2 linked regions of the Mus musculus genome follow. The protein of the gene in region 1 purifies or fractionates together with the protein of each later gene. This does not show direct contact. Links are inferred from orthologs where the notes say so. Each region holds a gene or a part of one and is shown on either strand. Other genes may lie near its edges.

Region 1 (4,506 bases):
TCACAAACCAAAAAAGTCAGAAGGTGCTTTCTAATCCAAGGATGCATAAACAAGTTTCCACCATTACTAACCGCCAAATGAACAGTCTGGTAAACCATAAAAAAAGCTATTTTTAACTTCTCAAATTAGCAATTACCAGTGTTGCTCAGTGTAAAGAAACTTACATTCTGCACTCTGTATTCTAGATATACTGTGATGAGGATTTAAGAATCCACAGCTATGGGTTGGAGAGTTGGCTCAGGGGTTAGGAACACTTATTACTCTTGCAGGGGACTCAAGACTCCCAGTACCACGTGGAAGCTCACAACTATCTGTAACTCTAGTCCCAGAGAATACAATACCCTCTTCTGACCTCCATAGGAGCCAGGAGCTCATGTAATACATACACATGCATGCAGGCAAAACACTCACACATAAAATAATAAATCTAAAATATTAAATTCATAACTGTAATAAGTATTTGGCTGTGATAATATCTACATTTCATATCTATCCCATGCATTCAAACCTGCACCCTCTTGTCTGCTCACTTTCTTTTATCAAGAATGCCCCTGCACACATAGGCTCCTCCTGGACCATTACATGCAGCTGGATTTGATCTGTATACAGTTCTGGCCCTTCTGCATATTTTAAAGTATCAATCCCAAGGCCACTGGCACGCATATAGGCAGACAAACATCAATCAAGATAAGCTTAATACACTAAGGCCAGTCCACAAAGCCAGATTTAAATCAGGTACAGATAGGGAGAATGATAAAGGGGAGGGGGGCACTCTCCTGGGAGGAAGGGAAAAGACTGGCTCAACAAGAGGGAAAACATGTCTGACCTGTACTGGAAACCTAGCTAACTACTCAGAAGGAAAAAGGAGGGTAAAATAACAGTACGGGTATCTAAAAAAGTCACAAAGAATCATACAGTTACGTATCTAAAACCAAAACAAACCTATAATAATGTAAATCTGTGTATAAATATACATATGTAGCTTTAACACACTCTTCTCACCTGGGCTGACAATGCTCCCTCCCAGAGCCAAAGACCACCCAATAAAAACCCAAATAGAAGACATGAGAAGCCCTCTTTTGAGTTGTTAGGATTGTAAACTAAAATTTCTTTTTCTGTAGGCATAAATTATTTCATGAGCACATACAGGGAAGAAAGGCCAGAAGGTTTTCAATGGATTGCCATCTCTGAATACTGCATTTATTCTAGTAAACAGAAAGGGCAACTGAACTGTGCTGTCGGGGCTGTCCAGGAGATCCCCAAAATAGACAGTCCATTTCTATTGACCTAGGGTGCATGCCCAGAGGTGGAAGGACTTGAGAAACAGGAATCAGAGAACCCTGAGCTGTAATGCTGCCTTCTACTAACACTTGTCCTTATACCCACAAATAAGCGCAGTCCTCTCCCCTCATCAAGGAAACTTTCCTTTGACAGAGATGGAGAGCAATAGAGAGGACCACAACCAATTAGAATGCAGAGTGTAGAACTCAGTCCCAATGGATAGATCCACACCTAAGGTATTGTGGAAGAGGGGACAGAAAGCAAGGTCAAAAACTTTGTTGTCAAATTGTGTCTCCAAGTAACACCAGACGCTTTGTTTACACTGTCACCAACATGACTGCCCACACATGCAGATAGTACCAGTGAGCATGCCAAAATGAACAGAGAGGAGCCATTGAGGCCTCAATCCTACACAAAGAACTACAGGCAACTAAGAAAAGCTAAGAGCAATAAAAGGGGTCTTCTCTAGGGAGGAGCACACCAACTGGCTGTCCAGTGCCAACCAGTCAGCCCTGAAACGTACATACAAGTGACACTAAACACACTGAACTAGTATATCTAGGAGTATTTATGTACATAGGTATAAGCATAGGATAACGATTAAGTGGGGGGAGGGAACATGGATTTGAAGGAGAGAATGGGAGGGTTTATGAGAGTGTAAAGAAGTAAAGAGGAGGTGTAACTATAATCTCAAAAATAAAAATTTTAAAGTTGAATATAAATGGAAAATATTAATATGAACTGCTTGTCTTTCACTTCGCCCTCATCGTCATCTGCCCCTCCTCTAAGCTAACGGAACTTTTTTTTTTTTTTTAAAGAACGAGTCTCTCTATTACATAGCCCTGGCTATCATGGAACTAGCTGTGTAGAGCAGGCTGACCTTGAACTCAGAGATCCACCTGCCACTGCCTTCCAAGCGCTGGGTTAAAGGGTGCGCCACCGCCTGGCAGAAAGGCACATTTTGTTGCCTTTCCAAACCCTCACCTTTTGGTGGTACTTGGCACGTGTAAGTCAAGCGCTTCCTTATGCTTTCAAAAGCACGTATCCGCTAGTAAAGAAACTGGGTCCTAGGGCCGCTATTTATTTTGTTTATCTGCTCCCCATACCCCACAGTACTCTCTCGACAGCAACAAATAACGACCACGAGGTGACAACTGGTGAGTCATTATGACTTTCCGTTACACCAGCACTACATTCCCAGCAGACACATAAGGAAAGGAGTCTTGGGATGTGGAATAGAGAGAACGCCGCAGGATGAGGATGCTCCAGGTCCACTGGGGTCTGCAGGCCGGCGGTCTCTAAATCTGGAACCTACAAACTGAGGTCTACACATCTGGAGCCTACACACCTGGGGTCCACACATGTGGGATCCCCTCACTTGGGACTCGTAATGGCAAGTGGGCTTAATACGAAAGCACAAGAGGCACAGGACAGGACAAACTTTGCTGGGCAGCGCAACTTTGAGAGTTCATTAGGGAGCCGCAACAAGTGAGTGCGCATGCCCAGTCGGCAGGGAAACGCAGACTGGGAGGAGCGAGAGCGGCCGGGAAGCTGCTGGCTCCCCCGCTGTCCCCGCGTAGGCCAGCGCTGCCGCGCGCCTTCCCGGCTCCCGCCCGCCCCCGGGCGTCCCCGGCCCGCTCACCAGTCAAGCCCCACTGCTGTAAGTCCGGTTCCTGCACCCGCGTCCGAAGCGGCTCCGGCCCGTGTTCGGCCGGCAGCGCCTGCAGGAAGCGCGGCAAGCCGCTCGCCATCCCGAGAGGCCCCGCGCCTTCGCTCCCGCGCGTGCGGAGTACAACGCACCGCCGCCAGAGGGCGCAGCTCGCGCGCCTTCCCACGCTTCCTTAGCACGCAGGTGCGGAAGACTCTGGTCTAAGTGTGCGTCTGCGACTAGGACCTAGAGGCTGCCTTTGCTAAAAGCTCTGACTCCTAACTTGGGTTGCTTGGGTAGCTAACAGCAAGCTCAAAACTTGGCAAGCTCCCCACCCCCCCTTAATTTCTTATCTGTCTTCTTTAAACTTTGGGTCCGATTCCTGAGCAGCTTTCCATGTTTTCAGTTACGATGCACATGCCTAAAAACTAGTACTACAAGGTAGATACGTCTTATATTATCTAACCTTTTTCTTCATGTATGACTAAAAACACCAAAATAAGATTAACTTTATCTCTTAAAATGTGTAGTGACAAGATACATTCAAAGAAAAGACCCTGGTGGTACATTCCTGTAATCTCAGCATTGGGGAGGCTGAGGCAGGAGAATTTGTGAGTTCAGTCTAGCCTGGGCTGCAAAGCAGGAAGGTGTCAATAAATAATAAAGATCAAAGCTCAGTTAGCAGAATGCTTGCCTCGAATGTACCAAGCCCTCGGGTGGGGCATGAGGGTGAGCACCTGTAATCCTAGCCCTAGGGAGCTGTCGGCAGGAGGACCGGAGCTCACGGTCAGCCTCAGCTACACAAGTTTGAAACCAGCCTAAGGTGCAGTAAACCTTTTCTTAAAAATAAAGTGCGAGAGAACTTCCCCCCCCCCCATCCCCTCAAGATTCCAAGAGTAGCCATTCAAACAGAACATCTATGTGTGATAAAAACAAAAACAAATAACAAATAACTAATGGCCACGTTGTCCTAAGAAGGACCAAGGCTGGCCCCACTATGCAGAAGTAGTCCTCTAATGACTAAGGGACTTTACCCATCCCGTTATACAGACTTCTCCAGGAACACACAGAACCAGAACTGAGGTACAACCAGATCAAGAGGGGAGATGTCAGATACACCAAGGTCATCGCACCCCTCTGTGATCAATTATCCCGTTATACAGACTTCTCCAGGAACACACAGAACCAGACCTGAGGTACAACCAGATCAAGAGTGGAGGTGTCAGATACACCAAGGTCATCGCACCCCTCTGTGATCAATTACGTTGAGGTTAAAGATTAACTCAAAAAAAAAAAAAAAAAAACAGTTCTCAGTGGGTACTTGAAGTTTCTTGTTTATAATATGAACTACTAGTGGGCTCTTACAAGAACATAGTGTGTTATCTGTCCCTTACCAGTGGAACTGAACAAACTTGCCCCCGTTTTCCAATAGAGCTGTATTGAATACAGTCCTTTTTTCACTAGTCGTTTTTCCATTTGATTGGGGGGGGAGGGGCAAATGGCTGGACCTGGTTTGTTGAGAGTCCCCCCAAATCAAAACTCTGGCAGCACTTCTGACCGTACTCTTGAGTCCCCAA
Region 2 (3,816 bases), on another chromosome or scaffold:
ATATCTCTGTGCTGCAGCTGAAGAAGGCAGAGACGTTTTGAGACTCGCCTAGGGTTACGTAACAAGTCCAGGTTCCAGACTAGTATTTCCAGAATGATGCTCTTACAGACTACCCTCTGCTGTACCAGAACGACTGCCTGGGTACCCACTGTGCAAGTGCCCAGAGGATGGCGACATCGACCTGGAATAGTCTTATATGGAATGAAATAGGGAAGGAGGAAGGGAGGAGGGGGAAGGAGATGGTGAGACAGACAGACAGAGAGAGAGAGAGAGAGAGAGAGAGAGAGAGAGAGAGAGAGAGAGAGAGAGACAGAGAGAGAGAGAGACAGAGACAGAGAGAGAGACAGAGAGAGAGAGACAGAGAGAGCATGAGCCTGTTAGTGTTAGATCCATGTTAAAACCTGGGCCACCTCTCTAATGTGGTAGGAAAGTTACAAGTATGTGAAGTGTATTTTGCATTCTTGTTACGTCCCCAGCAGTGGGTGCAGAGTGGGTGTTGGCGCTTGATTATCAGATTGAGTGATGTTGTGGTGAGGGTAAGACTTTTTTCCTTGGCTAAACTTCATTGTTGATGAGGAAGGAAGTAACACCATTTTGTCCCTTTGGGAGATTTTCTTCCAGGAAAGCACAGTATATTTTTGACATATTAACTTATTTTTTCCAAAGTACTAAAATTCTTAGCACTTATATTCCATGCAAATAACTGCTGGTTTCAAGTACTAATTCTGAACAAAGCAATAGCATGTTGATAGAAATCTCATTTTAATGTGACAATGAGTAACTTTAACATTCATTTGTAATTACAGAAGGGTGTGGATTTGGATGGGAGAGGAACTGGGAAGATCTCAGAGGGGAAGGAAAAAGGATTCAGAATATATTGTATGAAAAAAAAACCTATTTACAATAAAAGAAAAATGAAAGGAAAATTTATAAAATCATTTGTAATTATTTTAAAATCAGTTTCTTTGTATTAGCATATTTTATATTAAAGACATAAAATAAGCAACATGTTTGAACATAATTTAGATTATATTTTGAATCCTTAAGGATAACTTAACCTCTAATACAATCTTAAGTATGAAGACTATTACTGAAGAACTCACATTTCCCAATTTCAAAACCTGCTACAAAGTGCAGTCATTTTGTCTGGCATAATGGTAAACATAACTCAGTGGAGTTGAGGGTTAAAAAATTAGCCCTTATATTTATGGTCTTTACCTTGGACAAGGGCACCAATTCTTTTTTTTCCCCTGATGGCTTAGGATGATGAACACTTCTATTTTCTCTTTTCTTTTTTTATTAGATATTTTCTTCATTTAAATTTCAAATGCTATCCTGAAAGTCCCCTATACCCTACCCCCCACCCCCCTCCCGCCCTGCTCCCCAACCCACCCACTCCTGCTTTCTGGCTCTGGTGTTCCCCAGTACTGGGGCATATAACCTTCACAAGACCAAGGGCCTCTAATTCCATTGATGGCCGACTAGGCCATCCTCTGCTACATATGCAACTAGAGACATAAGCTCTGGGGGTACTGGTTAGTTCATATTGTTGTTCCTTTTATGCAGTTGCAGACCCCTTTAGCTCCTTGGGTACTTTCTCTAGTTCCTTCATTAGGGGCCCTGTGTTCCATCCAATAGATGACTGTGAGCATCCACTTCTGTATTTGCCAGTTACTGGCATAGCCTCACAAGAGACAGCTATATCAGGGTCCTGTCCTCAAAATCTTGCGGGCATATGCAATAGTGTCTGGGTTTGGTGTTTTTTTATGGGATGGATCCCTGGGTGGGGCAGTCTCTGGATGGTCCTTCCTTCTGTCTCAGCTCCGAACTTTGTCTCTGTAACTCCTTCCATGGGTATTTTGTTCCTCATTCTAAGGAGGGATAAAGTATCCACACTTTGGTCTTCCTTCTTTTTGAGTTTCATGTGTTTTGCAAATTGTATCTGTTAGATCCGTTTGTTTCATAACTTCTGTTAGTTTCAGTAAGGGTACCAATTCTAAACAAACAGGCTGAAGTTAGTTGTCCAGACAATACTGGAACAGCTAATATCCACAAAGAAAGAAATGAAGTTAGACGTTCACTTTATATCACATAGAATCAAAACGGATCAAACATCTAAATCTACAGAGGGTAGCATAGGTATAAATCCTTACCACCCAGCCCCAGGTAATGGCCTTACATGTCCAACAGCAAAGTATCAGCATTTGATAAATTGGATTTCCTCCCATTTGAAACCGTGTATGCTTGTGAGAGCAGTCAAGAAACAAAAAGGACAAGTGAATGACAAAATATTTATAAGTCACATACATCTATAATATCAACATCTAGAATATATAAGCAGTTACAACTCAATAACAAAAGAAAAACCTGATTTTAAGATGTTCAACTGATTAGAATAAATATTTCCTAAATTGAGCATGAAAAGATAGTATCACTAGTCATTGGGAAATTTAAGTCAAATCTATAATGTGATTCTCATAACAGTTTGAAACTAAAAATGCTTACTTAGCTCCTAGGCATCTGTAATCAAAGTCATTAGTAAATGTTGATATTAGCATATGGAGAAACTGGAATTCTCATATACTGTGTGATGTTATGAAGTAATTCATTCTCTTTGGAATGCCCATATTGTGATAATTCTTTAGATTTTAAAAACAAAAAACAGTTGTATGGCCTTGCACTGCCCCTGTTAGGTTTATGCCCCTAAGTTGAAAACATGAGTTTACACAGAAATGTATACATGGGTGCTCACAGTGATGTCATTCATAGTAGTCAGGGTGGGGAAACCAGCCGAATGCCTCAGCTGTGGAGTGGGTAAGCAAGTACAGAGTGGAGGATAGTTCCTGTCATTTATTATGACTCCTAACATCGAAGTTCAAGTCTGCTTTTGAAAGAGGTTATTCCTTATTTTACAACTGCTGACAGAAAAATTTAAAACTCAATCAGACTCTTCAGCTACATATTTCTGAAATCTCTCATCTTCTGTTTTAATGGTGTATTTATTTTCATTTTATGTATGTGAGTGTTTGCCTGCATGTATGTGTGTAAGTGCATCATCTATGTGCTTGATGTGCCCAGAGGCTAGAAGAGGGTATTGGAACTGAGGTAACAGACAGTGAGCCAACATGTGGGTTCTGGGACTAAACCTAGGTCCACAGCGAGCGCTCTTAGCTGCTGATCGATCTCTTCAGCCCTGGTCCATGATTTTAAAGACTAATGTATGATGTGATAATATATGAAAAACATGTACTGTAGCATTAACTGTGGTTTTAGGCTTCAGTTGGACAGAATGAGCTGAGCACCCCAGTGAGAGGTCCTCAGAAGCATAGAACTGAACAGCCTCAAGGCTGCTACCGTGTGTTGTAACTGATAGGAATGTTACGTGTTATAACTGATAGAAAACCAAGTTCCCATTTTATTTTATAGAAACAGTCAGATGCTTGATGAAGATGATATATTGAGTGAGATGCAGAAGTCCCCTGTGGTTAACTTACCTGATAAGACAACTGGTGCCTCACAGCTGCAAGGAAGCCCTGAAATAACCAAGACCAAGTGTCCCACCATAGATCCTATGGTGAGAATCGTAAGACGCACCATTCTAATCTGGTCTTTATTTCAAGGAGAGAGAAGACAACTGAAATCATGCATGTTACAACGCCTTGGGTTTTTAAGTTAGTCTGTAGAGGTCACACTAGGCTGACAGTTAAGTGAATAGGTAATGAATTTCTTGTAAGAACTTTAACTGTTGTGGATAGCTATGTTAATGCTAATTTTCTTCAAAGTAAATCCCTTTTCAGATTCACTAAGGGTAGGTGG

The links.
Region 2: the proteins of Chd1l (region 1) and Aplf purify together in Homo sapiens (affinity purification with mass spectrometry; 4 studies listed by BioGRID and IntAct, counting the BioPlex papers as one, with this or other methods). This does not show direct contact. The link is inferred for Mus musculus from reciprocal best matches to the Homo sapiens genes CHD1L and APLF.

Annotation. Positions count from the first base shown.
Region 1 is NC_000069.6:97,607,140-97,611,645, forward strand, and holds the start of Chd1l (chromodomain-helicase-DNA-binding protein 1-like), read right to left. Parts: upstream 3,052-4,506; 5' UTR 3,033-3,051; coding exon 2,924-3,032; exon of another isoform or gene 2,799-2,923; intron 1-2,798. UniProt on the Homo sapiens protein: ATP-dependent chromatin remodeler that mediates chromatin-remodeling following DNA damage.
Region 2 is NC_000072.6:87,658,599-87,662,414, reverse strand, and holds part of Aplf (aprataxin and PNK-like factor), read left to right. Parts: intron 1-3,426; coding exon 3,427-3,574; intron 3,575-3,816. UniProt on the Homo sapiens protein: Histone chaperone involved in single-strand and double-strand DNA break repair.